2 linked regions of the Tamandua tetradactyla genome follow. The protein of the gene in region 1 binds, or shares a complex with, the protein of each later gene. Links are inferred from orthologs where the notes say so. Each region holds a gene or a part of one and is shown on either strand. Other genes may lie near its edges.

Evidence for each region.
Region 2: the proteins of SPINDOC (region 1) and SPIN1 are in contact, whole or in part, in a crystal structure (PDB 7CNA), measured with the Homo sapiens proteins. The link is inferred for Tamandua tetradactyla from reciprocal best matches to the Homo sapiens genes SPINDOC and SPIN1. Residues at the interface, in NP_612480.1 of Homo sapiens: Phe256, Ala258, Pro259, Ala260, Val262, His264, Phe265, Thr266, Asp267, Ser269, Phe270, Pro271, Gly273, Phe274, Val275, Leu276, Gln277, Leu278, Phe279, Ser280; in NP_006708.2 of Homo sapiens: Met154, Thr169, Tyr170, Glu171, Pro174, Pro206, Val209, Val210, Leu213, Lys216, Gln217, Val218, Glu219, Tyr220, Thr229, Val232, Val242, Tyr243, Ile245, Phe247, Asp249, Asp250, Tyr254, Val255, Tyr256, Asp257, Leu258, Val259, Lys260, Thr261.

What each region holds. Positions count from the first base shown.
Region 1 is NC_135335.1:10,773,001-10,788,268, reverse strand, and holds the start of SPINDOC (spindlin interactor and repressor of chromatin-binding protein), read left to right. Parts: upstream 1-9,179; 5' UTR 9,180-9,266; coding exon 9,267-9,393; intron 9,394-12,098; coding exon 12,099-12,428; intron 12,429-12,513; coding exon 12,514-12,663; intron 12,664-12,842; coding exon 12,843-12,968; intron 12,969-13,180; coding exon 13,181-13,363; intron 13,364-15,268. UniProt on the Homo sapiens protein: Chromatin protein that stabilizes SPIN1 and enhances its association with histone H3 trimethylated at both 'Lys-4' and 'Lys-9' (H3K4me3K9me3).
Region 2 is NC_135328.1:11,366,460-11,382,139, reverse strand, and holds the start of SPIN1 (spindlin-1), read left to right. Parts: upstream 1-7,517; 5' UTR 7,518-7,631; intron 7,632-8,118; exon of another isoform or gene 8,119-8,139; intron 8,140-8,268; exon of another isoform or gene 8,269-8,378; intron 8,379-11,446; exon of another isoform or gene 11,447-11,859; intron 11,860-12,866; exon of another isoform or gene 12,867-12,935; intron 12,936-15,680. UniProt on the Homo sapiens protein: Chromatin reader that specifically recognizes and binds histone H3 both trimethylated at 'Lys-4' and 'Lys-9' (H3K4me3K9me3) and is involved in piRNA-mediated retrotransposon silencing during spermatogenesis.

The sequences.
Region 1 (15,268 bases):
GAACATCAAGAACTCAACTTGGGGAATTTGAATTTCTCCCCACTCTCACCATTCCCCGAAGGGGGCTTTGGGAAAATATTTTAATAGACATTTCTCTATAGAAGATACACAAGCGGCCAACAAGCACATAAGACATCATTCAAAATCATTTGTCATTAAGAAAATTCAAATCAAAACCACAATGAGATACCATTTTACACTTACTAGAATGGCTATAATAAAAAAGACAAACAATAAAAAGTGTTGGTGAGGAAAAAAAAGGAAAAGAAAAAAAGGGCGGGCCAATGTAGCTAAGCGGCAGTGTTCCCGCCTACTGTGCTGGAGAATCGGGTTTGATTCCTGGTGCCTGCCCATGCAAAAAAGAAAAAAAGTGTTGGTGAGGATGAGGAAAAATTGGAACCCCCACACATTGCTGATGGGATTGTAAAGATGGTTCAACTCTTATGGAAAACAATTTGGCAGTTGCTCAAAATGTCATGCATAGAGTGGCCACATGATCTAGCAATTCCACTCTTAAGTATGCACTCAAGAGAATTGAAAACATACAACCACACAAAAACTTGTACACAAATGTTCATAGCAACCTTATTTAATTAATGGCTAAAAAGTGGAACCAACTTAAATGTCCCTTAACTCATAAGTGAATAAATAGAATGTGGATTATCCATTAAATGAAATATTATTTGACAAGAAGAATTGAGGTGCTACTACAATGTGGTTGAAACTTGTGAACATTATTATATGTGAAAGGAGCCAGTCACACAAAAAAACACATATTGATTTATTCCATTTATGTCAAATGTACAGAATAGGGACATGTGTAGAAACAGAAAGTAGATGGGTGGTCAATTAGAGCTAGAAGCTTGGGGGAATGTAGCGGGAATGGGATTGGCTACTAATGGATGCGGGGTTTCTTTTATAAGAGACAAAAATGTTCTAAAATTAGATTTTGGTGATGGTCCCACAACCTCATAAATATACAAAAAAATAAATAAAAACATTGACTCGTAAGCTTTAAATAGGTAGGTTATATGATGATTAAAATACCACGTGAATTAAAATAAACCTGAAAGTCCCATGTCTTGGAAAACTCAATCACTGGCAATCCAAAACAGTTTGTCCCCTTAATGCCACCCTCCACACACACACACACACACACACACACACACACACACACACACACACATTAAAAGAACAACAACGAGGGACTCTGGGGCAGAATGTAGCATCTAGAGTATTAGTCAGTTTTCTGCTGTGGCAATTTTGCAGACAGCCCAGAAACTCACTCATTTACAACAGTAGATATTGATTTCTTGCTCACTGGCTTCCAGTTGGGTTGAGTCTGTTCCAGTTCTCCGTGTGTCTCTCATTCCAGGACACCTGCTGAAGAAGCAGCCATTCATCTGGGGCATGGTCTTCTGGCGGCAGATGGCAAGACCCCAGAGACCAAACAAGTAGATGTAAAGACTCATCAAAGACACAGCTTACTTTGTGTGCTCACATTCCATGGCCATGGGAAATCACGTGGTTGAGTCCAGAGTCCGTGAGGTGGGAAGGTCTTCCCTGCCTGATGAGAGGCACTAAAAAGCCTCAAGGTAACAAGGCTGCAAGCATGCAATCCTGTTACAGGAGGGAGTGGAGTCAGTGGAAACACTAAGCTATTTGGGCCAAATGGTAACCATTCCTGCTCAGGAAGGATTTGCCTGTTTTGACTGTCTGTTGCAAACGGATCTTTTATTTTTTTTTAATAGAAACGACTATATTTTACATTCTGATTATAAAAGTAAAAACATCAGGCGGTACAGAAATGTTTTCAACAGAAACAGAGCTCGAAGGATATTAAGGAATGATGACATTCAAAATGTAAAGGTTAGTCCTAATGTCATCATCTGCAGTTTAAGTTTATTCTTATAGAATTTCTTACGTATATAAAAACACACAGACGCTATGTTTAACAAAAGTAGGATTATGTTAAACATTATTTTGTAATCTCTTGTCAGTTAATATATCAGGGATACCTTTCTATATAGGTCTGTGTTATCATTTTAAAAGTTTGCATGAATTTTTATGGTACTACATTTTTAAAATTTCTTTTATTGTGAAATATAACATACATACAAAAAAGCAATAAATTTCCAAGTACATTTTAACAAGTAGTGATAGAACAGATTTTAAAGTTTGGTATGGGTTGCAGTCCCACAATTGTTTTGTTTTTCTTCTAGCTGCTCCAGGACACTGGAGCTATAATGATTCAACAGTCCTATTCATTTATTAAATCCCATCTTCTCTGTTATACTCCTCCTTCTCTTTAAATAACATATGTACATCAAAGCAATAAATTTCAAAATACATCCCAACAATTAGTTATGGAATAGATTTCAGAGTTTGGTATGGGTTATAATTCTACAATTTTAGGTTTTTACTTCTAGCTGCTCTAAGGTACTGAAGACTAAAAGAAATATCAATATAATGATTCAGCAGTCATACTTGTCTGTTAAACCTGACCTTCTCTGTATAATTCCACCATCACCTTTGATCTTTCTCCCACTCGGTACTTACTACATTTTGAAGTATTTGTACACATTTTCTTTACCAATGATCTGCCCCCATAAATTATGCTTGCATAATCATAGCATATAAATGTTTGTGGGTTTTCACACTTAACATTATTTCACAATTGTTTTTCCATGTTGCTTTAATCTTTGTAATTATCTTTTTCGGTACAGCCTAATACACCATTATTTAATTAGCCAGTTCCAGTGTTCAGATATTGTGGTTATTTCTAATGCTTTTTATGTTCATATTCATTCATTGCAAATTTTCTGACTGCATTTGATTGGCTGAGTTTTTTCCCTGCTTTCCTTTCCACAAGTCTTCCCTTCATGCTAGGCAGAGCTGGAAGGGTAGTTGGCATTTTCCAATAAGGGGAAGCTAAGTTTAGCACATTTTAACTTGGGTGAAATGGTATAGAGCTAAGTAGTTCATAGTCACTTCCCTATCCAGTTAATAGCTGTCTGTCCCTAAGGAGGAGTGGTTCTGGGAATTTTCTTTCTGCTCACCAAGCTGCCTCTCCTCACTTCTTGGTACTGAGATGCAGGGTTAGAAGTCATTTGGTGATATAAGCCTGTCCCACCGTGCCCAGCACCAGATGTACATGTGGATACTCAAGGAGAAATGAAGTTTGAAATGGACACAGCTAGAAGCTAGTCTTTGAGAAATAGTAGCCACATCTCCTGGCCGGTGGGGTAAGGTGTGGGAGCCAGGAGAGAATAAGTCTGAATCCCAGAGAAGAGCAAAGACAAGGAGATGGCAAAAATTCCCTGGTGGCCTGTTATCCCTAAAGCCTGCCTGTATCCCTGTCCTTCCACGATCAGGCATTCAAACCTTCCTTGAATTCCATGAGCCAATAAATCCCCCCATTTTGCTCAAGCTAGTTTTGAGTTGAGGTCTCTGCAAGAAGACCTCAGAGGTGTAGGCACTGAGCTGGTCGTAAGATCATACGCCCTGGACCAATGCTGAGACTACAAAGATGGACAAGAGATGGGCCTGCCTTCCATGTACTCCCAGGCTGTGAAGGACAGAGATACGCCAACATAATTACAGTGCGGTTTGGATGAGTTTCACAGTAGAGGGGTTCCGGCTGAGGCTGGGAACAGGAAAAAAGGGGACCTCTGACTACTCGTGAGAACAGAATAAAACTTCAGTCAGGAAGGATAAGCTGCTCCGTTTTAAATAATGAAGAGTTCAAGTGTGGTGAATACTGCGATCGACATCTTTAAGCCGTTATTTCTCTTCTCTGAATGACTTCTTCAGGATAACGCTTGGTGATAGGATTGCCAAGCCAAAGAACATACTCTTTGTATGGCTTTTGCTGAAGACCACTACGCAATGCCAAGTGAGGTAGGAACGAAGCTCCCTCTCTTAGTCTTGGAACAGTCTTCCTCCCACCTAGTGCTTCATTTAGCTTTTTTTCCTGTAGTGCCTACTCTCTGTCCCGTCTCGTCACCACCAGTAAAACCTGTACCACGCAGAAATGCTTCATCCCAGCTCAGGACATCTGGGGAATGGCCTGGAGCAGCTATTGCTGAGACAGAGGCAATCCACTCGCATCCCTGTCCTGCTGCTGTTTGAGGAATCTCATACCCCAAGGCCAAGTTCACTAGGTCAAAAGACAAGTTGCCAAACATAATTTGTTTGGTAAAGCTCCTTTGTCCCTCTCTCCTCCACATGGGGATATACCAACAATTAAGATTCTATTTCCTTTAGCAATTACTCACTAAGCACTGCCTATGTAACCAGTGGATGGGAATTCATAATAATTCCATCTAAGATAATCTGGAACTTTCCCCTCATACCCTGGGTGCAGAGAGAGTTTTCTCAGAGTAATGGAAAAGAGGCTTTGCAATCAGAGTCTTGCATATGTCACTGGCTGTAGTTGTTTGATTTGAGCGACTTACTTTTTTCAGTTTCTTCATCCATATATATGAGAGCTAATGATACCTACCTTTCATTTAACAACTAATTTAAAGCTCACTAAGAGATAGCATGATACTATAGTGAAAAGCATAGTTTTATCATTAGTAAAAGAGTCCTTTTAGACTTACTCATTCTGACATAGATTTTTATTATATGTCACTCTTTTATGTATAAAAATGAGAATGTGAGCAAAACAAATTGGCTAGAGTTATTAAAGCCCTGTGACTAAAGATTACCCAGCACACACTTGTAGATAAAAGTAGGTTAGCTTTATTTAGCTTGTCGCAGTAAAGGAAAATGCACCCTAGGGAAACCCTCAGGGGTGTCTCTATAAGGATTTGGGCTTGTGTCAGATGATTCTGCAGAGGATTTAGGGAAACCAAGACCAGTTCGGAATCGGACGTTTCTGAAAAGCAGGGAAAATTCAGAGGCTGGGTGTCTTTATAATGTTTATCCAGGAGGGTTAGTGCAAGACTGGAGTTGTCATTTACTAGAAGCAGCAATCACTCAGAAAGTCAAACCCATTTTTGTGGTCTTGTCTAAATCTCATTTTTTATGCTCTCTTGGGAACATCATGGTCTGTTTCTCAGAAGGTCTATCTCTTACTTTCTTGGGGTATTCCTAAAACTTCACTTTGCTTTCAATTATAGTATGTATCCCATTTTAGGGATATTAAAATATGAAAACAAAAAACAAAAAAAAACCCTGTTCATCCTAGATTTGATGAAATGTGATTCTTGCTGTATTACCTTGGGCAAATAATTTAACCGTCTAAAGCTCAACTTTGTGCTCCATAAAATGGAGCCGATAAAATTTACCTCAGTATTGTCAACGTACTTAATGTCAAATTATTTAAATGATTACTTAAAATGATTTTTGTCTTACATATGTGTCACCCCATTTAAAAATAAATTAATTAGAGGGTGGTGCAAACGTGGCTCAGTGCAGAATTCTCTTCTGCCATGTCAGAGACCCGGGTTCAATTCCCAGTGCCTGCCCATGTAAAAAAATATAAATTAATAAATAAATTAGATTTTTAAAAGAATGCATACAAAGTGACAGGTACAGTCTTGGGTAACACACAAGGGCCATCCAGGAAATAGGACCCACTCTATGTATTTAAAATAGAATTTTTTTAATTAAAAAAATAATAACAAACGCCAACATTCTTAACTTAGGATCATTCAGTTCTACATCTATATAATCAATAATTCACAATATCATCACATAGTTGCTTATTCATCATCACGATCATTTCTTAGAACATTTGGATCAATTTAGAAAAAGAAATAAAAAGACAACAGAAAAAAATTCATACATACCATACCCTTTACCCCTCCCTTTCATTGATCACTAGCATTTCAATCTAAATTTATTTTAACATTTGTTCCCCCATTATTTATTTTTATTCCATATGTTTCACTTGTCTGTTGATAAGGTAGATAAAAGGAGCATCAGACACAAGGTTTTCACAATCACACAGCTACATTGTGAAAGCTCTATCATTACACAATCATCCTCAAGAAACATGGCTACTGGAACACAGCTGTACATTTTCAGGCAGTTCCCTCCAGCCTCTCCATTACATCTTGACTAACAAGGTGATACCTACTTAATGTGTAAGAATAACCTCCGGGATAACCTCTCGACTCTTGTTTGGAATCTCTCCGCCATTGACACTTTATTTTGTCTCATTTCGCTCTTCCCCCTTTTGGTCGAGGTTTTCTCAATCCCTCGATGCTGAGTCTCGGCTCATTCTAGGAGTTTTCACAATCTCTTGATGCTGAGTCTCAGGTCATTCTAGAATTTCTGTCCCACATTGCCAGGAAGGTCCACACCCCTGGGAGTCATGTCCCACATAGACAGGGGGAGGGCAGTAAGTTTGCTTGTTGTGTTGGCTGGAGAGAGAGACAGAGAGGACACATCTGAACAACAAAAGAGGTTCTCTTGGGGGTGACTCTCAGGAAGGTCCACACCCCTGGGAGCCATGTCCCACATAGACAGGGGGAGGGCAGTAAGTTTGCTTGTTGTGTTGGCTGGAGAGAGAGAGAGAGAAAACACATCTGAACAACAAAAGAGGTTCTCTTGGGAGTGACTCTTAGGCCTAATTTTAAGTAGGCTTGACCTATCCTTTGTGGGGTTAAGTTTCATATAACCTAACCCCAAGATTGGGGGCTCAGCCTATAGCTTTGGTTGTCCCCACTCTTTATGAGAATATCACGAATTCAACCTGGGGAAGTTGAATTTTCCCCCTTTCTCACTTTTTTTTTTTTTTTTGCAAATACTTTTTTATTCACCGTTCAAATCCTTCTGGGATTTATCGGGGCATCACTCTGGACAAACCAGCAAAATCTCATGCCCTACTCTGGGTTCCATGTACTTATGGTGTTCAATTAAGCCGTCTGCATAAATTATATTAGGAAATGCACTAGCCAAAATATAAATTTTGTAGTCCTCTTGCTTTTGTAAAATTTCTTTTTCCCCAGAACATTATCAAACAAGTTTAACTTTGAAATATTCATATTTTAGGTGAGGACTTTAAAACTATATGCTTTCATTTTCCTTTGCAGACTTTTTCTTGTTTACCCAATTTCATTAAAGGCAGTTTTAATTTTCAAAAAAAAAAAAAAGAGGGAACCACTCTTAAAAAACCTTAGAGCCCATGCAACCAGAGAACTTTGGAGATGAAGAAGGAAAATGCCCCTGCTGGAGCTTCATGAAACTAGAGGCCAGGAGAGAAAGCTATCAGACTTCATTATATGCCCTTCCAGCTGAGAGAGAAACTCCCAACTCATTGACCTTCCTTGAGTGATAGTACCAAATTGTTGGTGCTTTAATTTAGGCATTTTCATAACCTTGCCTCAATTTGTACATTTTCACAGCTTTGGAACAGTAAATTTGCAACTTAATAAATTGCCCTTTTTAAAAGTAAAATATATATATATATATATATATATATATATAAATTTTGTACCAAATAAACATTTTTTGCTTTAGTCTCACACATAAGCTAAATTTTTTAAATATTAATTACCATCTATTTAAAATGGAATTTAATGCAGGGTATTGGTGGCACAGCGAGGCAACCCAGAGATGACCGAAAACAGGAAGCTGCTCCCTACCCCTAAAGTGGAAAAGCAAATAGAGGAATTATTGGAGCTACCAGCATGAGTCACCCTGCAGAAGTTGGAATCACAGGAGGCCTCTCCAGCAAGACCTGAACCACAGAGTAGCTTTATCTGCTGCCACTGCTGCTGCTGGAGACTTGCCAGAGGCTGAAAGTTAGTGAGAAGGATGAAATACCCTAGCCTTTTTCTTCCTCCTGCTTTCCAGTCTCCTGTCACTGTCTCCCATCGGCCAAACCCAGGCCAGTAGCCAGCTGGCCCAGACGCCTGAGAAACTGCCACCTGCAGCAATATAGTAGACCAGGAGGGCAAGCGACACCTAGATTCCAGGTAAAAGGCAGAAAGCAACTATTAAGCAGAAATGAAACAGGCTAACTAATACCTTTACTTGCAAAACTTGTAAAGTACTGGATGCATTTGCAAGTCAACAGTTATTTCCTTAAAAATATATATTGATAAACCAGTACCTTCACATGCTTTATCACCCCAGCCCACTCGATCTCCAGCCATCCCTCTATATTTTCTGAATTACTACGGCATGGCATTTTAAGATGGATTTTTCCGCGTCAGATATATTGCTTTTTCCCAGTTGAAATCTCACGAGGGTTTATACAACAGAGGGACATGCACATTCCACTTCCAGAGGTGAAAGTCAGAATAGGATAGGATTATGATGCGGCAGTGTCATGGGAATTGGATTCCGGTCTTGGGGCGCTCAAAGGATTGCCGCGTGACCTTGGGTAGCTCATGGAAGCTCTGCGCTCACATTTGGAACAAGGAAATCGTAATCATCGGGGATGGTTTGTGCGTGCCCACGCTACACTGAGCTCCTCTGCATCTTTGCATTCCCTTGTCCAGAAGGTTCCACGAATGTTTTTCTGAAATGCTGTCTGAGGCGGCCTAAGGGCCTAGGAAAACACATAACGTGCCCAAGGTCGCCGAGCTGGCAAAGCAGCAGGAATTCAGTCACCGTTCTTCCGTGCCAAAGCCTTTGCACTCCTCCACCGGCTTTTTTCCCGCCCTGGGCATCTTTTGGAGGAGGCAGGGCAAAATCCTGGGGCACCTGGTAGGATGGCAGCAAAAACGCCCGACTGGCATCCCAGCGTTGAGCTACCCACCGGCCTCCGCCGGCCGCCTCACGACGCGCCACCGGGTCTCCCACCCCCCACGCGCCAGGGGGGAACTTTGGGGGCCTAGACGCCACGCGGGCGAACCCCGCCTCCACGCTGGGGGGCGGCCGAGAGCCTGCGCGCGGCCTTTCGCGCCTCCCCGCAGGTCCCCGGGATTCTAACAGGAGCCGAGCGCCCGGGGGCGGGGACAGGGCAGGGCCGCGTGCGATTGGCTGCGCGGGGCTCGGGGGGCGGGGCCCATGCGGGCGGCCGGGCGGACGCGGACAATGAGCCTCCATAAAAGGGAGCGGCGGGGGGCTGGGGCCCCGGATTGAGCCCTCCCCGTCCGGGGTCCCGACGCTCTGTGGTGTCGGGGAGGTCTGGACTCGCCCGTCGCAGGCCCGGCCGGCGAGCGAGCGAGCGGCGGGGAGGGGGCAGCGCGGGGCGGGCCGCGGGCCCGGCGCTGTCCAGGCGGGAGGTGGCAGCTGTCTGCGGCGCCGAGGCCTGCGCGCCCGTCCTCCCGGGGCCGGTGACCGCAACCCTCCCGGGCCTCACCATGGCCCTGAAGGCCGAGGGTTCCGCGCTCGACTGCTTCGAGGTGACGCTCAAGTGTGAGGAAGGGGAGGACGAGGCGGAGGCCACGGTGGTGGCCGTGATCCCGCGGCCCGAGCCGATGCTCAGAGGTGAGGATGGGAGGGAACCCCCCCCCCACTTCCGCGTCAGGGTCCAGGGCTCGGGCTTCCCCTCCCCCAGTCGGGGCCGGGGTACCCCCACCTCCCCCTCGGGTCTGAGGCCCCGGCGCCCTCTGGCTCCGCCCCCACCGGGGTTTGGAATCTCCGGCCTCCCCGAATCCGTCCCCCCCGCCCCCTCCCCCTCCCGGCCCCGGGTCTGGAGCATTCGATCCACGCCCCGCGCGCTCCGGATCTTCCGGTGCCCGAGCGCCCCCTCTCCCGGGCCCAGCGCGGGAGGCCGGATCCCGGGCGACGCTGGGTATCTGCGGCCGCCGTCTCCCGGCCCCGAGACCGGCGCGAGGCCGTGTTCTAGGCCGAGGGGCCGCGAGGCCTCCAGGCCGGACAGCTGGGTGTCCGGAGGCAGTCGGAGGATGGGGGTAGGCTGGGCTGCAGCCCTTCGAAGAGGAGGATCTTAAGGGCGCGCCATGCGCGGGGTTTTTCTGGCCCCGGAGATAATTCCCCTTTCCCAGACCTTCCACTTGCATAAGCCACAGGTGTCAGTTTCTAGAGCGCCAGGGGTGAATGGGACTGCACACAGCACCCAGTTTTGGAAAGGAAGTGCTTGTCGGGTCGTCTACCCGCCCTAAAACGAGATTGACCTGGAGAGGGGATTTGAGGAACAATCTGGAAAACTCGCTTTCCCCTCCCCCTATGCCAAATACACAGGATCTTGAAAATCATAAGAAAAGGCCACCTTCGTGGAAGACTTAATGTTCATGAGAGTACAAATGTCATTAGATTCTCCAGTATTTCTTCCCACAGCTGGGGACAGTATCCAGAAGAGATGGGGATCTAGACCTTGTGAAAATGGGAGAGGGGAGGGAACCGGCTTGCTCTTTTAACCTTAACAGAACATAATGATGTCTATGTGGACTGTCTCATCATTTTCAGAATCAGGAGGATTATAAAATATAATTGAGCCTTCAATCCAAAAGAGGTTATTTCCCCACCTCCCCTGATATTTATTGAGGTTTTGCATTCCTGGCCATTGTCAGACTGTCACGTATAATGCTCTCCACAGCCCTGCAAGGGAGACCTTCTCCCCACTGTGAGGGATAGGAAATCGGAGATCAGAGAGGGTAATTCATTCAACAAATATTTGTTGAGCAGCCACTACATGCCAGGCTGTCTCTTAGGCTTGGGATGCCAACAGCTGTAAACAAAGACAAAACCCTGTTCTTGTGGAACATGCATTCCAATGGCTGAAGAAGTCAAGCAGGAATATAAAAGTATAGTATCTCAGGTGGCGATAAGTGATGCAGACAACACTAAAGTAGGGTAAGGAGAAAAGAGTGTCTGGAGTATTTTATTTGGTATGTTGTCAGGTAGTCAGGGAAGGTGTCTGATACAGTGAGTTTTGAGCACAGAATTGAAGCAAAGCGTGGTGGGGGACCTGGTAGATAGTTGAGGAAGAGCATTTCAGGCAGAGAAAATAACAAGTGCAAAGGTCCTGAAGCAGAAGCTTCTTGAAAAAATTATAGTATAAGGGAAAGTGAGGATGAATTCAAGAGCAGCTGGAAGGATGGATTTCCATTTACTGAGATTGGGATGACTGGGAGATGGAGGTTTATAAGAATGGGGTTAGGATTTGCAGGTGTTAAGTTGAAGATGTCTTTATCCATCCAAGTGGAGAAGACCACTGGTCAGTTAGAGTTAGATCCAGGAGCTCTAACTGGATTGCATGGGAGAGTCCTGCTGGATTTGCATATATGTAAGTTGTCAGGCCAACAATTGGATGAGACCATCAGAGGAAGGAGGTAGACAGAGGAGGGGTCCAGGGACTGAGTCTGGAGTATTCCAGTGATGAAAAGATGGAGGTAGAGCCATTCCCTCTTCAAAACTTACTGAGCGCCACTGTGTGCCAGGCCTGAACAGTCATATGTTTATGCTGTCGTGGAACCTACAGTATCGTGGAGAGATGCAGTAAACAAGTAAGATGTGTTAGGTCAGGGGGTGATAAGTGCTATGGAAGAAAGCGAAGCAGTGCAGGGGTTGGGGTGCTCGGGTGGTGGGATGGCAGCTTTCTAACAGAGTGGCCCAGAGGGCCTCAGTCGGGAGGGTGGTCCTTTAGTAACAACCTGGAGGAAGTAAGGGAGCCGTGCAGATATCTGGGAAGGGGTAGAGATCAGAGACGGGCAAAGGGTTCTCACCAGGTAGAACAGGCAGGTACATCATTTGGTGACAGAAAGCTCACTGAGTAGCTCCTCTCCTACGTACCAGGCTGTCCAGAAACGTACATTATGGCCTGGAAGTCAGAAGTGGATACAGTCAGCTGCCAGAGTGGGAGGCCAGGAAGGCTTCACAGATGATGGGTTGAACAAGGCCATGAAGGAACCTGGGAATTTTTCCGAGGCAGTCTGGACAGGTGTGCAGAAGCTGAAGACATGCATGAGCACAGCTGATGGGGGAAAAACCTGTAGACCTATGTTAAGACTTGATTGGAAGAAGGTGTAGGAGTGTGCGTAGCAGGATACCAAACACACAGGCTTTGTTCCATGTGACTTGTGCTTCATGGACTCCAGGAGAAGGGAGAGAAAGACTTTGGATAGGGATCTCACACACACACACATACACTCACCATCAAGTTTGAGGAATCGCGTGTTCTAAGTACCGTTGGCTGTGGGCACCTGATAAACATCTCCCCTCCTCCTCCACAGTGACCCAACAGGAGAAGACCCCACCACCTAGACCCAACCTGCTAGAGGCAGGTGGTGATGGCTGTGAGGAGCCCAAGCAGCAAGTGTCTTGGGAGCAGGAGTTCTTGGTGGGGAGCAGCCCAGGAGGCAGCGGGCGGGCGCTGTGCATGGTGTGTGGCGCCGAGATCCGGGCCCCCTCGGCCGACACGGCTCGCCTGCACATCCTGGAACAGCATCCTCACACCCTGGACCTGAGCCCTTCTGAGAAGAGCAACATCTTGGAGGCCTGGAGCGAAGGGGTGGCCCTTTTGCAGGACATCAGAGCTGAGCAGCCGTCCCCACCCAGCTCAGGTAGTTGGGTCTCGGGTGGGAGGCAGAGGGAAAAAATGAGCCCTAGTGGAGCGTTTGGGGCTCACTGGGTATTTGCCCCCTTCAGACTCAGGCCGGTTTGTGGATCAAGACCTGGACTCTGACCCAGACCCTACCAAAATGCCAGCGGAGATTGTCGTCCTCCTTGACTCTGAGGACAATCCATCTCTCCCTAAGAGGAGCCGGCCCAGGGGCCTCCGTCCACTGGAGCTTCCTGGTCAGTCATCTGGGAAGCCGGTGTATCTAAGGCTAAGTGGGGGCTGGGTAAGACACAAAACCTGTGTTCTGGGGTGGGGAAAGGCTGCTGGCGTGCAGGTATCTTGAGGAGTCCTGGGAGGGGGCATCAGGGTTCAGGCATGGGCTCTTAAAAAGGCATAAGGTCTTTTCTTTTTGCAGCTGCCCCTGCTACAGAGCCAGGAAATAAGAAGCCCCGTGGTCAGAAATGGAAGGAGCCCCCTGGGGAAGAGCCAGTCCGAAAGAAAAGAGGCAGACCTATGACCAAAACTCTGGACCCCGACCCAGGTGAAGGAGAGGCCCCAGAGGTGTGGGCACAGGTTCTGGCTGCAGTGCTCCAGGAAGACAGCTGAGCCAGTGAGGATAGGGTGGAGCCCAGGCAGAGGGCACCTGGCAGCTCACCTGGGGCCTCGAGATGCAGGCTTTTGGGTTCTGGCCTGGACGGGGCTAATAAGTCTGGCTGCCTGAACTCATAGTTTCCTTCTCTTCTCCCTTCCCAGATCCCCCATCACCCGACTCGCCCACAGAGACTTTCGCAGCCCCAGCTGAAGTCCGACATTTCACTGATGGCACCTTCCCCCCTGGCTTCGTCCTCCAACTCTTTTCCCACACCCAGTTTAGATCCTCAGAGAGCAAGGATTCACCCAATGAGGGTAAAGCGGCAGGAGAAAGCCCCTCCCCAGGTGAGCTCTCTGGGAAGGGTTGACAAGAGGAGATTGGGCAAGCAGCATCCCTGGGTTTTGACCTCAGTGAGGCTGCTCGACCGCAGAGCCCAGCAGGGAGACGGTTGATACTGAGGTACCCTGGGAGACAGGGCTAAAGGCAGGGGGATTTGAGTGATCAAAGTGGCTGGTCAGGATGCTGAGCTTTTCTAAGATTTCCTTGAGCGTTTCCTGGAATCGGTTGTCAGGTTGGGCAAGGCCAGTGTTCCAGCTGGATCCTGAGAGGCACCTCAGCCTGGTGGAGCATGGGCCCAAATGGGGCCACTCAGCAGTCCAGTTGGCAGGTCTCAAGACAGCATACTCCTGTTGAAGGCTGTACAAACACCTCTGGGAAAACCAGCTCAGTAAATCACCTAAGAGCAGGAACTGTGTTGGTATCATCTTCTGCTGATGTTAAGTAATGTATATATATGGTGTTCATTTGGTCCTTACAGAGATACCTGGCAGTGAAAGGGGCAGGTGTCTATCCGCTTTTCCAGGTGAAGAGTCCAAATCCCAGAGGAATGGTTCCTTCTTCCCAGTGGTCATTTCTTCATTTCCATTGGCTGCTGTAACAAATTGCCAGACACCTAGTGGCTTAAAGCAGTGCACATTTATTTTACGGTTCTGGTGGTCAAAAGCCCGACATGGGTCTGACTGGGCTAAAATCAAGGGATTGCAGGGCTGCATTTCTTTCTCAAAGCTTTGTAGGAAAGTCCATTTTCCTACATTTTCCACCTTCCAGAGTTTGCCCACTTCTTTGGCTCATGGCCTCCTTCCATCTTCAAAGCCAGCAGTGGCCAGTTGCGTCTTTCTCAGGAGGCCATCTGTGCTTCTGACTCTTCTGCCTCCCTCTTTCCTATTTAAGGACCCTTGTGGACCCACCAGATAATCCAGGGTCATTTCCTTATCTTAAGGTCATCTGATTAGCAACCATAATTCCATCTGCAGCCTGACTTCCCCTTGTAACATGGCATCTCCACAGGTTCAGGGGATTAGGGTGCGGCTATCTTTGGGGGGCGGGGGTAGCCTGCCTTTGCACTGCCTACGCAGTCACGGAACTAAGCGGTGACAAAATCAAGATGAGATTGGAATGCATGACAGTCGGGCAGAGGCAGGGCCAGTTCTCTCTCTGTCTCTCCATGCCGAGCATGGTTGCAGCATCTTAGAGGCTCAGGAAATGCTTCTTGAAGAAGTATTTGAGTGACCCAGAGAGTGCCTGTGTCCCAGCTTGTCTGAAACGTGCATTTGGAGTCAGAGCCCAGAGAAAGATGGCACGCCGCATGGCTGGAGGCTCCCTAGAATAGGGCTCTCAAAAGGAAGGTGTGCTTCACCAGGTCCTCCCCGTCCCCAGATGTGCTCATAGCACTTCATAGTGTTTTCTCCAACATCAATTGGAGATAATCAATTATCTGTATATTGGGGGAAAAAAAGGTGTGCTTTATGCATGAAGGAAAAAGCAAATTGTTACCCCTCTGGCCCCTCCTCGCCAGTAACCACTATTAGCAATTTGGCCTATATGCCTCAGGCTTTTTACAAAGTCTGTGTGTGCGTGTGTGTGCGTGCATGTGCATGTGTGTGTGTGTATGAGATTGCCAAAATGGGCTCCTCTTTTATAAGCTTGAGGCAGGTCTTGCTCCTCACAGAGATCCCAATTGCAACTATCTCCAGTGTCAGCATAAGTCACATTCCCGCCCTGCCTCCCTGAGCCGTGCTCTTTGCCTGGACCTGAGTGTGTTCAGGTCTTCTTATGGCCTTCGGCAGATCATCACTGTTGGTGGCTAACTTCTTCCACTGTTTGGGTCTTCCGGTTTCGTTCCCAGCAGGGAGCCTTCATTTCAAGTCCTGAGGTGCCCTGTGCTCAAACTCCATGTGAATGGGGTGGTG
Region 2 (15,680 bases), on another chromosome or scaffold:
CCACATTCTGTTGGTTCAGCATGTCACAAAGACAAGTTCAGATGCAAGGGGAGGGCAGTTGAAATTAATCTCAGACATAATTTCTAATGGAAAATCCTTCGGAACATATCACTAAATGATGATCACTCCCTCCTTTTCACCTTCACCACTATGCCACTATCACCCTCTGTTATAGATTGAATTGTATTCTCCAGAAGACATTGCCACGTCTTAACCCCTGGTTCTGTGAATGTGAATTTACTTGGAAATACGATATTTGAATATGTTATTACTTGAGATAAGTCCAAATTGGATCAGAATGGTCCCTTCTCCAATATGATTGCTATCCTTATAAGCAGAGGAAATTTGGACACAGTGAGTAAGAGAGAAAGAGATAGCTAGCTCTGTGACAGAGGCAGAGACTGAGTTATGCCACAAACCAAGGAACATCATGGATTACCAGCCACCAACAAAATCCTACAGATTGCAGTCTGCTGACACCTTGATTTCAGACTTCTGGCCCCCAGAACATGAGACAATAAATTCCTGTGGTTTAAGCCAACTGACCTGTGGTAACTTGTTAAAGCAGTCCTGACAAATTAAGATAGTCCCCCACTATAAAATAATGACATCTTATTATCATCAAATAACCAGTTTGCTTACTGTTTGAAAATGATCATTTTCATGAGCATTGCATCTTGTTCAAATCATGTCTCCCAAAGTTTCTTACAGTAAACTTTTAAGTGGTTTCCTAGATTTCAGAATTTTCTAGATAGAACCAGACTGATTCAACAAAGTTCTTACTACAAGGCTGATTGATCATCTTCAATTGTTTTGTACTGGATGGTGAGAGTCCCTTACATGTGTGCAATTCTGCACAGTTTATATCGTATCTTTCGTTATTGACATAACCCAGTGAGATTGGTTAAGGAGAGTTTAGAGTACCCAGTCTCCTGGCATTCAAGACCTTTCATAAGCCCATATCCTAACAAATCCATACAACCCAGAACTCCCAGAACAAGTTATGCCTTAATTTATAACAAATAGTTGTTGAATAGACTTTGCTCCAGGGAATATATTGATAATGAAAACAGATCTTGTTCCTGCCTTCCAGGCCTTTTAATCCTGTGGGGGAACTGGTGATATTCAAGTAAATATTTCAATACTACATGCAATTATAAAAGGAAATAGGTGCTATGATGGAAAACAAACAAGGATTTAAGTAAGAGAGAGTGAGAGTGAGCAATCTACTTTGGTATCTGGTCAGGGAAAGTTTCTCTGAGGAGACACTTAAAAATCTCTATCTGCCTGCTGTGCATAAGACAACCTGGAAGGAGGTAACAGTGGAGCAGGGGAGATTGACGTAGTTGACCAGATGGCTGAGCTCTGCTCATTGCCATGCTGCCCTTTGAGTCCTTCATTCAGTAAACATTTTCTGAGTGCCATGTGCTGTTCCCTTCATGAAGCGTAAACATGCTTATGTATGTAGACACAGTATCCCCTCCAGAGGCTAATGCAGTGCCTCGAGCTCGCTAGGGGTTCAGTTGATATTTGATGAGTGAGTGACTGAAAGGGATGTTCTGGTTTTCCTCTTTTTTTTTTTTTAAAGGAAAGACAGAGAGAAGGAAGGAAGGATAGAAGGAAGGAAGGAAGGAAGAAAGGGAAACATCTTTAAACATTTTCTTGTTTTATTGTATTCTGTTTCTCCGTTTTTTTGTTACATGGGCTGGGGCCGGGAATCGAACCGAGGTCCTCTGGCATAGCAGGCAAGCACTTTGCCCGCTGAGCCACCGCGGCCCGCCCCTGGTTTTCCTCTTCATTCAGCAGGACAGTCACGCTGACAGTCTCATTGTGTGAGAGAAGCCTGGAAGGGGCATGACATCGTCATTTGATTTTTCTGAAGCTCCAGGAGCAAGTCATTAAGCTAAAAAAAAAAAAAGAGTGTAGAGAGAGTGACTTCCTGACTGCGTTCCTACACTCTTTTAACACCACTGCTGCTTTACTTTCAAGGAGAGAGGATAGCAACAAGCTGCTCCTTCACCCTAGAATAGGAAGAAACTATAGTGTAGGCCCAGGTGGTCTAAGGGGTTCTGGGAAGCAGGCTGGCTAGGCCCTTCCAGATATTGAGCTCTGCAGGTTGAGCTGGACCTTAGAGAGGTAGCCTTGGGTTAATGGGAGAGGTGTCAGAGAGTGGGGGCTGGACCAAAGAGGAGGTAAGGATCACCCTGGATCTTGCAACTGCATCTAAAGCGTCTGTGTTTCCTTCTAACCACATTACTTCCTCTGGAGGATTAATTTCTGAAATCTCATAGATTAAAGGTGTAGAGCATGTCTTGGGAAGCTGACCTGAAGGCCTTAAATCGTCTTCTGTGGAATATTTAATGAACCCTTTTTCTGGCTAGTGGAGGTACAGCAGAGAACAAAAGCAAAAGGCACAGAGAATGTATCTTCCTCCATGGAAGCCTGGAGGGTTTCAGGCAAAGCTGAACAGAAACACTATTTGTTTCTGACCTTGTTCCTTCTTATGCTCTCAACTCCTTCCCTCTTTCTGGTCCCATTGCTGACCATCCAGATGGGCTGTGGTCTCCTCAGCCCTGGACCCCATGTTTCCTCCTGTAGTGTGCATCAATCAGTTGACTCTCAGTGGTAGATCTGGCCTAAGCACCTTATCAGAACCAACATAGGAGGGTTGCTGCTGTACCATAGAGGGCCACCATCTAATCAGGAGTCACACAGTAGATTTGCCAAGTCTGCATATACAGCCATGGGTGAGAGAGGCAGAGCCAGCATGAACCCCCACCATACTGAAGGACCTTATGTTAGGGTTGCTGAAGAACCCTGAAAGCTTCCAGCTTGACAATGACACTTGCTCCTGCCGCATGGGGACCAGATGTCACTCACTCACTCAAAGCTTAAATGCCAAAGCTCTGGACCTAGCTTTGATGGGAGCATCTTAGCACATCAATCACAGGATAGCTCATGTGACACTGGGGAAGATGGCATTCCTTTTTTTTTATACATACTTTTTTATTATCTGCCCAAAATACTCTGGAATGTATCTCGGTATTACATTAAGCTATACAGAATCATCAGATTTCATTCTCTATTTTAGGTTCTATGTATTTAGGATGTGCAAATAAACTGGTTAGACAGGTTAAGTTAGATAGTATGCCTAAGAAAATTTAGATTTTGGACAAAATACACCTCTTTTCCTTTGGTCTCATACAGAAGTTGAAGTTTTAATATGCAGACTATACATCCTTTACTTGTATTCTGATTTATCTTAGTCCCAAACAGATCAGCTTCATTCATATCTCTAATTGAAGTCTGAACTCTATTTCATCTTTTAACCATCGCAGTATGGAGTAATGCTGACTTTCAGAGCTGCAGAACTCTTAACTCTGAGTCTAACTCTGAATCACACAGGTAACCATAAATCCAGGGAACTATCAAGTTACATACAAAGAGTACAGCATCTCAGCATTTTGAAAATAACATTTAAAACTCAGGAATAAATACGACTACTCTAAGAGCTTACAATCTAAGCCCTAGTTTTCTTATAAGCATTTTCTAAATGAGACCATACAATATTTGTCCTTTCGTTTCTGGCTTATATTGGTTAACATAATATCCTCAAGTTTCATTCACCTTGTTTCATGCCTACATTCCTTTCTGTAGCCCCACAACACTCTATGTATACAGCACAGCTCATCAGTCGACGGACCCTGTGGCCACATCCATCCATTGGCTATCGTGAGTAATGCCACCCTGAACATCAATGTGCAAAAGTCTATTTGTATATCTGAAGACAGCATTCTTACAAGGCTGGAGGCTGAACCATCAAGCCCACCCACCTAGAGGTTTAGCTAATGCAAATGGGTAAATATTGGATACTTCTTGCTGTGCTGAATAATTCCATAACAAACACAACTAATTTGGAAAGGCTGCCTTGAGTCTCTTTCTGATTATTGCATAAGAGTCAGTGTAGTGAATATTCTGAGGTTCATTGCTATTGCTCCCTCTTTCCACTCTTATATCACAAGTGTGTTCATCCCTGTGGCAGAACTTTCTCTCCAGGTAGGAGCCCATTTAAAAGATATGAGTGGTGCCCCGAGAGTTTTCTAGCCATAGGGCAGAAGATGAAAACAGAGTGGGAGCTACAGGCTGAGACTATTAACATGCTGATTTACTTGCCAGCAATAAACTTCCTGCAGGAGGAAAAATTTATGTAGGCCCTTCTAACCTAATCTTCCAGCGTGATTGAGAAACTACAAATAAATTGACTAGAAAATTTAAGTTTCTGGAAGGGCTTGTTGGTGAGTTTCTGTGAGACTGGGAAACTGAAGCGAGCAGGAGCTGCCTGAAAAGTAGAACAGTGTGGCTAAAGTATCCTAGAAATTCATGAAATTATGCTGTCTTCTATTTTTCCAAATTTATATTTTGAACATTTTTTTTCCAAAGTTGAAATAATTGCACAATGAATACATATGGATCCTATACCTTGTCTCACCAACTTTAACATTTTGCTACTTTTGCTTTCTTTATATATAAAATGTACTTGTTTCTGAAATATTTGAAGTAAGCTGTAGTCATCTGGACACTTGAATTAAGTAATTTGTTATGTGCCTCCTGAGAACAAGAGCATTGTTTAAGATGATTCCGTAATGCATTCAGAGCACCCAATTGTCCCCCCAAATTTCCATGGTAGCTTTTTATTTTTTTCCACTTAAGGGCCATGCACTGGAGTAGTCTATAGTCTCTTTTATTCTGGAATAATTCCCTACCTTTTTTGTTTTTCTCTGCCTCTGTCACATGGCTCTCAATCGCCCCCAGGGGATATTTGGTAATATACAGAGATGTTTTTGATTGCCACAACTGCGATGGATGTGTGTGCTAATGGTTTCTAGCGCATAGAGAGGCCAGGGATGCTTATACTGAGTTTTTAAGAGTCCAGACCAGTTGTTTTGCAGAATGCCTCTCAATCTGGATTTGTCTGATTTTTTCTGATTAGATTCATTTTAAACGTTTTTAGCAGATACACATGGGTCATGTAAAAACCCATTTTTGAAATTCAAGATGTGTTATGGATTCAGTCATGTCCCCCCCAAAAACATGCTCAAGGTTTATCTCCTGGCACTGTAGATGTGAGCCCATCTGTAAACAGGATCTTTGAAGATGGTATTAAGGTGAGCCGAAGTTGATCCAATATGACAGGGGTCCCAGTAAACAGAAGGAATTAAGTCACAGGCAGGAGAATTAGGAGGCAGACTGTAGCGAGACAGCCACGCGTCAGAGGCAGAGACTGAGTTACAGATTGCCGGCATCAGAATGCAACCAATTTCAGAAAAAGCATGGCCCTGTTGTCACTCTGATTTTGACTTCTAGTCTCCCAAACTATGAGACAACAAATTCCTGCTGTTTAAGCCAAATACTCTGTGGCACTTTGTTACAGCAGCCCTGGCAACCTAAGACAAGATACTAATGAGCAAGGCTTCAGAAGGTAATTGAAATGCTGATGGCAGAAAGACCAGGAAGTGGGGCCCTTTCTGATATAGGGCCATGTGCATTCCCATGCCTGAGCATTCTTGATAAGCTCCCAATCTGACCATCTTTAGAGATAAAATTTAAAACAGTGGTTCTCCACCGCCCCCAGGGGATATTTGGCAATGTTTTGAGGTATTTTTGGTTGTGGGTGGTGTATGTGTGCTACTGGCTTCTGGTGGGTAGAGGCCAGGGGTGCTGCAAACATCCTACAATGCAAAGAAAGCCTCCGACAGCACAGACTTATCTTGCCCTAAATGTCAATAGCGACAGACTGAGAAACCTGTCACTATAATACTGAAGCGTCCCAACTAGCATACTTCTGAGCACATATCTGCTTCCCATTCCTTCTTGTTCCAGATTCTCCTGTATTGTCTCATGAGACAAAAATTAAACACACAAAAGGACACAAAAGAATGCAATTTCTCAATATTATATGGTGAGCACAGCGATGTATGTGCATTTATTATATTTATTTGTATACCAATAACAAATATATACAAAAATATAAAATAAACAATATAAAATGATGTATTGTACTATTTAATATATTTATTTTATGATATATATACTTGTTAACCCTTTAATTAGCCTATGAACATCGTGTCATTTAAGATGTGCCCTCCAGTTTGTTTGTGTAGGCACACAAAATTACTTGGAAGAAAAGTTGCCAGGATAATCCCAAAGAACACTAACTCACAAATGCCCTGCAATTTACGGTGAACAAAGTGCTTTCTCCAATACTGCATTCGGTGCTCTGCAATTTAGGGTGAACAAAGTGCTTTCTCCAATATTGCATTCGGCAACGTGAGCCGACAACACTCTGGGAGACGGTTTATTATCATGCGGGTGCTGGGGCTGCGCTGTCGCACTCGAGGAACCAGAACAGGGAGTGGGACCAGCTCAGGACACAGGTCTAGTGACCGCGTGGGGCGGGATGGGAGCGGGCGGCGAGATGCAGACCCGGATTCAGCCTCTATGTCCTTCGGTCCACTCTGAAGCATTCAAAACTGCTCTCCATGCTTCATTCCCTCCCCCACCCCTTCTCGTGCAAGCAACGTAAACCTAATACTCCAAGCGTATCTTAACCTAAACAGAAGGACAGATTAACGCGCAAGCGTGGGAATGTCTGGTTCTAACCGCGCAAGGAGAGTGGGTGGGTTCTTGCATTTGGGAAGGAGGCTTGGTACAGATTGAAACTTCTGGCTTTGCAGAAATCATGCCCCCCTCCCCCAGCCGCCCTCCCACCCCTCAACCTCGGTAAGGTCAGGAATCTTGCAGGAGAAGCTTCGGGGTTTAAGTTAACATGAAATACCTAGAAATAGCTTTTTACATGGAAGTAGATTGTGGGGTGACCGGGATTTGACGCTAGACCTCTTCGCAGGGCAGCGGTAAGAGGAAGGCGTCTGTTCTAGTAAATCACAGGAAACAAATCTATATGCATTTTTATAGGATTTAAGTCCTGCGGTCCCGAACGACTGCAATTTTAGCTAGTATGTTCTCTATCGTTTAAAGCTCACCTTTCTTGCGCATGTTCTTGCCATTCTGTCCAGTTTCATAAATCCTTGGGGTATGCACGCCTCAGAAGGATTCACTATTTACATCCAAGGACAAAGAGCACCTAGTCGTCTCTTAGAAAGTCTTCATAGTAACGAGAACTAAACTCCTCCCAAGCTGCCTAACTTTTGGTAGAAACGGCACCCACCTTGCTCCCAAGACTCCTGGAGCTCCGCACTTCGAACGCGTAGGCGACTCCAGCCTGGCGTCCGCCTAGCGCACCTGGCAGTGCCTCCAAGCCAGGACGATACTCCGCTACGCCCCGCCCCGCCAGGTGAGCAGCCGCGAGGCCCCGCCCCCACCCGGAAGCGCCTGCGCAGTTCGGCCCGGCTCGGAGTCTGCTGCCGGGGTGGCGGGGCCGTCGCAGTTCGGCGGGCCCAGTGCGCGTGCGCCGTGGAGGCCGGGAGGCGGGCGGCGGCGGCGAAGAGAGGCTTGGCGGGGGCGGGGAGGCGCCGTCTGGCTCGGGTTGGGGCCAGGGCAGGGAGCCTGAGAGAAGAGGGTCGGCGAAAACCCGCGTGGGGCTTGTGGACAGCGGCCCTCAAGCGGGTTGGCAGGTGAGGCCTCTCCGCCGCGGGCGGGAACGGGGCCGCTCCGGGGGCAGCGTCGCCGCCGCGAGAGAAGGCGCGGGCGTGAGGCGCGCGTCGGCGTCTCTCCCTGGTTTCCGCGCGGGGCTGCCTTCGCCCGGCCCGGGCCAAGTCGTGCCAGGTGAACGCTGCCCGACGGCCCGGCAGCCCGTGCCCCGCGGCGGCGCATTGTCCGGGCCGGGCCGCGCCAGCGCAGCGCCCCCTGCCGGCCGAGACGACCCCCGGGGTGGAGGCGGTTCGGCCTCCTCGGGCCTCCCCGGGCCTCCTCGCGCGGGTTGCGCGTTTCTTTGTTCGCCGCCGCGCTCGGCCCCCTCCTCCTCTGCCGCCGCCGCCGCCGCCGCCGCCCAGCGAGTCCCGGGCGCCCGGCGCGCCCCGCCCGCCAACATGGCCGCCGCCGCGCCGCACCCCGCGCCCCCGGCGCCGCCGGCCCCTTAGCGCCGCTTTTGTTCCTCGGCGCCGGCGCCGCCGCCCGCGCGGGGTAAGGTTCTGCGGGCTCCGGCCAGTCCCAGCTGTCGGCGTCTGCCGGCAGCGACAGGCGGAGGAGCCCGGAACGCGCGGGGGCGGGGGGCTTCGCCTCTGCGTATTTTCGAGGGCGGGTGGGGGAGGGGACGATGCGCCAAAATCGTTGGCAGCGGCGAAATGTTCAGTGTTGCATAATACGCCTAGTCTCTCTGCGCGCTGGACGCGGCTCGTCGCGGGCGAGGAGGAAGAGAAACGGTACCACCTGGGTCGCGGATGGGCCGGGCGGAGAGCGGTGCTTTCGTGTGGAGGCTGCGTCCGCGCTGCTGTTGGGAGGGTGGGATGGCAGGTCTGGGGTGTCTGCAGCTAATCCCGGGGTTGCCGCGTCTCTTGCGGGGTATGGTTCTGTTAGTGGGTAGACGAACTTGCGCGTAGCCCTGTTTTTCCCAGGGTGAGGGGTACTGGGTTTTGAAGGTAGCGTTGCTTTTGAGTGGAGGAGCCCTTAGTCCTTGGAAGTTGTTGGATTCATAGAAAAGGCATGTTTTCTGTTGCTTCCAATAACGCCCACTAGCACATTTCCCATCCTATGCGGTCCTCCGGCAGCCGCAGCACCCTCTCCTGGCTTTGTTAAATACTTCGGCAGCCCTTCTGTTGGATAAGGAATTGACGTTGGGAATGCATTTCTTTCGACACATTTTTTCCCCCATCATAAGTGACCTTGAATGTATTCTACTAGGAATTTCTTCAGATTAATTTTTGGTGCGGTAACTACGCAGTGCGTTTTGGTTTGGCTTTCTGTTAGGTTCTTTCATTAATGCATTCTTGATTTTACGAGATTTGATCTTGGTAGTGGTTTCAGTGATATATGTTATTTAATAAGTACCTCAAAGTTTATTTACGTAATTTTTTTTTTTTTTACTTTAATTTGTTCATCGGGATTCCGGTTATTTGGAGAGAGTTTTCCAGACATATTCTTTGGCTGTGCATTGTTGAGCTATTTTACCGTGAACATAAAAAGTAGTACAAGATAATGAAATGTTTTAAAGGATTTCACTGTCCAACGTGATTTGTGCCAAAGCGGATATACGTACCCAAATGCGAAAACCTATATAACTTTCCTCTGTTCGAATTTTCTGGAATGAAGTCGGTGCAGTCTGAAAGGATTGATTTGTACAGTAATTGTTTTCTACGTGACTGTCACTAGGAAGTGAGAATTAAAGCTAAACCTGGCGATTTATATCAGGACTTACGGAGTTCGTGGTCTTAGAGGTTGTGAAATTTCAGAAAAGAGATCAAGTGAATTGATGCTTCCTTTCCCACCTCCAGCTTTAGTTATGGGCAAACACCAACAACTAGAGTTGCTAGTAATTTATAGAACGTTCATGACCCACCCTTAATAATTATACGTTAAGGTTTCGTAATATGTCAAAACTCTGGGTAGTTGGTATTTCTCATGAGAAATAAAACTGAGTTTTTAAATTTTTAATCTTTTAAGTAGTGAAATAGTTACTGTTAAGAGTGTATGAAATATGTAAGACAAAAGGACCAGTATACACCTTGCTATTTCTTCATGTTTGTTTTTTCTAACCCTTATTGAGCCCCCAAATTTCACTGTAGTAGGTTTTTGACAGTGCCTTTAATTACCAGTTAGGAACATAATGACAATATGGGATTCGATAACTTTGCTTTGGAATGTCTTTAGCAGTGTTGCTTAATGTGGCATTCTTTGTGACTCTTGTTCAATGAGATGCCACAGGTGCTGAAAAATATTGCAGCCTTTTCTGCATTTATTTGGCCCCAGAACCCTTGTTTGGTTTGGTAGGGTGTCTGTTTAGCATCAAGGAAATCAGAAAACAGCTGATATTTCTTGGGACATACTTAGATTATGAAAGTATGGTCATTGGTGTCTTTATGGTATATCTTAGAAAATAGCACCTCTCCCTTAATTGTGAACTGAGGAGGGGGTGGTGGTGATGTGATTTGTGTGTTCTTGTGCATTTTATGGGCAGTTCCCTATAATCTGGCTCTTACTGTATTGATAAGTTTTTATGAGCTCTATTAGCCAGAAGTCTTAATTAGAAGATATTTAATGCATTTTTGCTTCCCAGTGACTTAAATGATTGCACACATTGTTAAGAACAGTAACAAGTTTACCAACAGTTCTTCTTAATTGTTAGCATCTTTTTTCCTAGTGTGTTAGAAATAAACGAAAAGGATACTATTGTTTTTGAAGAATTAATTATGTGGATCATTTAGAGGTTAAAAAGAATGGCTTGAACATTCTTATGGCCTGCCTGTTAGAATCTCAATTTGCTGGGAAAGAACAATTGGTGTATATCCATGTAAATTCTTCTTTATGTTTTTTAGGCACTAAATTGAATTTTTTTTCTTTTCCTTTGAATGAAAAGAAGTTGGAAGAAGAGAATCAATTCTTTTACCCAAGGAATTTGTTCAGTGGAAGGCGTTATGGTATTGTGAAAAAGATGTCTGGAGTTAAACATGGAATTAACATGGCCTTCAAATCAGAAGAATCTGGGTTGAAATTGAGCACCACTGCTTACTCGTCCAAAGCTATATATCTGATTCGTCATGCAGCCTTTTTCAAACTCTTCAAATTGACTTTAAATTTGGATGAAACCTCTCATGTAAAGCTATTGTGAGAATTAAATGAATTTGTATAATTCCCAGTACTGTTCCTGATAGTGGTTAGGGCCAATAATAGTTGATTTCCTTCCCCTTCCTACTTTTGAACTTGGCAGTAGTCATTAGTATGATTTTTCTGTTTTCATGCTGAAATTAACAGTTTGCTTAGTTGTGCCTCAGTATTCAGTCCAGTTTATTAATTTTAAGTTAGATCTTTATTGGGTAGCTTTTTAAAGCCTTGAAACCACTTTCTGAAACAAGTCAGTAAAGATATAATGTATAGATATAAGTACATAAATACCTTAAAGTACTTTACAGTCTGGTAGGGAAGATTACACATACATATAATGAGGAAATTCTGTGCTAAGGGGTATCTTGGAAGAGAAGATAATGCTGTAGTTGGTTCAAGAATGTTAAAGTAGGAAAGTAAAGGAATTCTAGATGATGGTAACAGCAAAAGCACAGGCATGAAAAGAGGTCGTATGTCCTGAATTTGAATCACAACCATTTTATTCCTACACTGTTACCTTTTATTCATGCGTGACAGTGTTACCTATAAAATGGGGTGATAATCCCTCCTTCACTAGGTATAAGATTAAATGAGGCAGCTCGATAAAGTGGTTGTGCAGCTTCTAGCATATGGTAAGGGCCTGGTTGATGTGGTGGTGGTGGTGGTGGTGGTGGTGATGATGGTGATACCGATACCACTGCTTACCACCACTCATAGTGTGATATGGTTGGTCTGTTTTTTGGAGGTAGGTTTTAAATGCTTCACATTTATGTCATTGGCATTTATCCTACAGATGGTGGGAAGCCATTGAAAGGTAGCGACATTAATCAGGCCTGTGCTTCAGAAGGATAATTTTTACAACAGATTGTTGGAACATTCTGGCCAGTATGAAATACCTAATTTCCAGAGTTTAGTCTGTTAGAGAAGATGATTAAAGTCATTTGAGGCAGGGGGAGTAAGTCCGGACTCACTAGAATGTTACTGTGTTCACCTTCGGGGGCTTGGGCCCCACTGGACAGTTTCCATTCAGCATGGATATTATTTCATCACAATGTTGAATGTTGAGAGAGTAAATGAAGAGTCTAGGTAAGGCTTTTTTTTTTTTTTTAATAAATTTGAGATTTTTTTAAAAAGACTTACAAGGACAAGCCCTTTTTTTAGTCTAGATTATGTAAACTTTAATTTATAGTGTAACCTATATACAAAGCAAAGAAATGAAAAAGCAATAGTTTTCAAAGCACTCTTCAACAAGTAGTTATAGGACAGATCCCAGAGTTTGTCATGGGCTACCATATGATCCTCTCAGATTTTTCTTTCTAGCTGTTCCAGAATATAGGAGGCTAAAAGGCTTGAATACCTTTCTTTCATCACAATTGACTTTCTTTCTTTTTTTGTGAAAAATAACATACATACCAAAAAGCAATAAATTTCAAAGCACAGCACCACAATTAGAGGTAGAATATATTTCAGAGTTTGACGTGGGTTACAGTTTCACAGTTTTAGATTTTTGCTTCTAGCTGTTCTAAGATACTGGAGACTAGAGATATCAGTTTAATGATTCAGCCATCATATTCATTTGTTAAGTCCTGTCTTCTCTGTGTAACTCCGCTATCACCTTTGATCTTTCTTTCCCTCTCTTTAAGGGTGTTTGGACTATGGCCATTCCAACTTTTTCATGTTGGAAGGGCCTGTCACTAATATGGTGTCAGGAGATGGAACTATCTGATGTTTTGGAGAGGCTGGGCCCCTAGGTTTTGGGGCTTATCTGGTCCAGGGACCTATCTGGAGGTTGTAGATGTCTGGAAAGTTACTCTACTGCATGGAACCCTTGTGGAATCTTATATATTGCCTTAGGTGTTCTTTAGGATTTACTGTAATGTTTTTGCTTGGGATTTGGCAGGTTATGATAGGTAGCAACGTCTAACTGAAGTTTGCATAAGCACAACCTCCAGAGTAGCCTCTCGGCTCTATTTGAACTCTCTCTGCCACTGATACTTTATTAGTTACACTTCTTTTCCCCCTTTTGGTCAGGAGGGAATTGTTGATCCCACCTAGATTATATTTGTATTAAGTTGTGTTTGGTTTTCCTACAGTTTAGATATGAACTCTCATGTTGGAGACCCAGGTTTGATTTCTGGACCATGCCCCCCAAAGAAAAAAAGGTCAGAACTGTATAAAAAGGAATATTTGCGCAGTGTTACTTGCATTCATGTCCCTTTACAAGTTATGTTTGATTTTGGATTTGCCTGCAAATGATTATTTAATATTACTAATCTGAGTTTTGGGTCCTGGCACAGCTTAACAGAAGAAAGAGCGCTTTTTTCATTTTTCTTCTTGCATGGTTTTGTTTGTGTGTGTGCATGTGAGAGTTTCTCTGCTTTTTCTTTCTTAACATTGATTGTGAACCCATGGATTTTTATATGTTCTGTGTATTTTAATCGAATAGTAATTTTTTTCATCACTTTGTCCCATCTTTGGCCCCTGGGAGTACTTTCATGCATGGTTCCACTGATCTTTGAAACATTTGTTGCTTTCTGGCACAAGCTGTACCAGGCTCTTTACATGTCTTTTAGCTCCTTTTATTGGGGAGTGGAATTTAGATACCAAAATTTGGGTGCTGTGTTTGTTCTCATTGGTGCTGGAATGCTACTACTTTCATTGGACAGACTGGGGGTAGTATGGATGTTGATTTTTTATTCATATTCCTAATTCAAATGTAACATTACAGGGTTTTTACTTATCTTTGATTTTATCCTTTTTTTGCTAACATTGAAAATTTGCATTCTTGGCAACAATACTTTCCTGTATCTTAAAATACAAATATTTGGAAATCAGTACTTATTAGTTTATAAACATTGAAACTACTAGATTTATACTTGGTTATAGTTCTTTTTCTTAAATGGTGACCCTATAAGGATGTACAGTTGATATTCTCAGTCATTTGATTGTGATATTCTCTTTATTTATGTTATCAGTTTGATAATTAGTTTCGTGTATTTGCTTGAAATTCTTCACTTTTAGGAGTTACTTTAATTTTTTTTTTAGTGCAGTTTTTTTCAATGTGTGAAACATTTGTGTAGCTTAAAAGTCAAAACTGGATGCACAGATCGTTCATTGGAAAAATGCTCGCCTTCCAAGCAGGAGACCCGGGTTTGATTCCCAGACCATGCACCCAAAAGAAAGTAAAACTATATAAAAAAACATTCACAGTGTCACTTTCATTTATGTCTGTTTTACTCATTCCTCTCCTGCCCGTTTTTATTATTTTCTGGGTTTATTCTTCCAGTATTTCAGTTTTGCAAATATAATTAGAAACTTTTTTTGCCCTTTCTTTTCCTGTGCAAAAGATAGCATTCTGTGTTTGCTCTTTTGCTTCTGCCTTTTTATCTAAGTTAGTCTGGAGATGACTTCATATCTCTATGTAAATTTTTCACACCCTTTTGAGGCAGCATTCTAATAATAAACATTTGGGTTTTTAAATTCTATTTCTGTTGTAAATATTGCTGCAGTGAGTAATCTTGTGACACATTGTTTTATATTTGTGCAGGTGTAGTTTTAAAATAGTGAAATTGCTAGGTAAAAGGTAAACACATTGGCAACTTTGTTAGTGCCAAAAAATTACCGTTTTAAAGGTAGATCTGAGTGTGTCACCCTTTACTTACCCTCATTGACTTCTCATTGTTTTTAAGGGCATTGCTTGAAGGACTTCATAACATGGCCTCAAGGGTTTATATAATCCTTTTGGGCTGCAGCCTCATTTTGTACCACATTTATTCCCTCTTGCTGTCTTTGCTGTAGACATAACTGTCCTTCTTCAGTCTCTCATACTCACTATCTTCTCATTCACCAGGGATCTTGGTGCTTGTTCTTTCTCTGCTTGCACTACCTGAAATGCTGTCCTTTGCTTGTTTCAGATATTCTTAGTCTTCTTTTAGAGTTTGGCTTAAGCATCGCTTTTTCTTTAAATTTCTTTTTTTGTGTGCATTTGAAAATCTTCATTATAAAAGTAAAGAGAATAGTCCAATGAACCCCCATGTTTCCATTACCCAGCTTTTGACCATCAATTTTATGCAATTTTGTCAAGTATTAACTTTTTCTCAAAGTTTCTTTGACCTCCCTGAAGTCAAGTTCTCCTATTAGAGATACCAATTTCTCCTTTCTGGTGCTTATCAAAATTCAAATATTACATTTGCCTACATAATTAATTAGTTTTCCCCAGAAAGCTGAGCTTCATAAAAGCAGAGATGTTCCTGATTTTGCCCACAGTTACTCTTCTTGTACTTAGCTTAGAGCCTGGATTATCAGTGTGAGAAAGGTAGAATTATCCAGTAAGAACATTGAGGCTGTGTATTTAAGTATCTTGTCCACGGTGCAGGTGTCTAGCATATATATGGGTAATAAGTAAACATCTGTTGAATTTTAACTGCCTTTTTTTAGAATACTGTAATATTTAATTATACTATTTAATTAGGCTTTAATTAGAAGAGCAGAACTACTAGGATAAATGGAGGAAAAAATATGTATCTGCGTATGTGTTTATAGTATTTGTTTTTTTTTGAGGGATTGCAAGGATTTGAGTTAAACAAAATTTTGGGAGTTGGCTGAGCAGTTTCTATAAGGTTGTTGTGCCTTTGTCCTTGATGCTGGAGCTGGAAGTTCATAGGGTAGGCATTCAGGAAAGGAAGGTGGATATAAAGTGGGGAAGAATAAATTGGAAGCTGCAGGTGGAATAGACTGAAGCCCAGGCCATTTCCTCTTGCTTCTAAGGTTGGTGGTGTGAGTATCCTACAATAGCTGGGCCCTTGATCGAGGAGCTAAAGATGTATTCTTGGCTTAGGAGATAGAGAAGCTCCAGGAGGACCTACAGGGCAAGGTGGAGTAGTTGCCACAGCAGTTTGCAGGCCCAG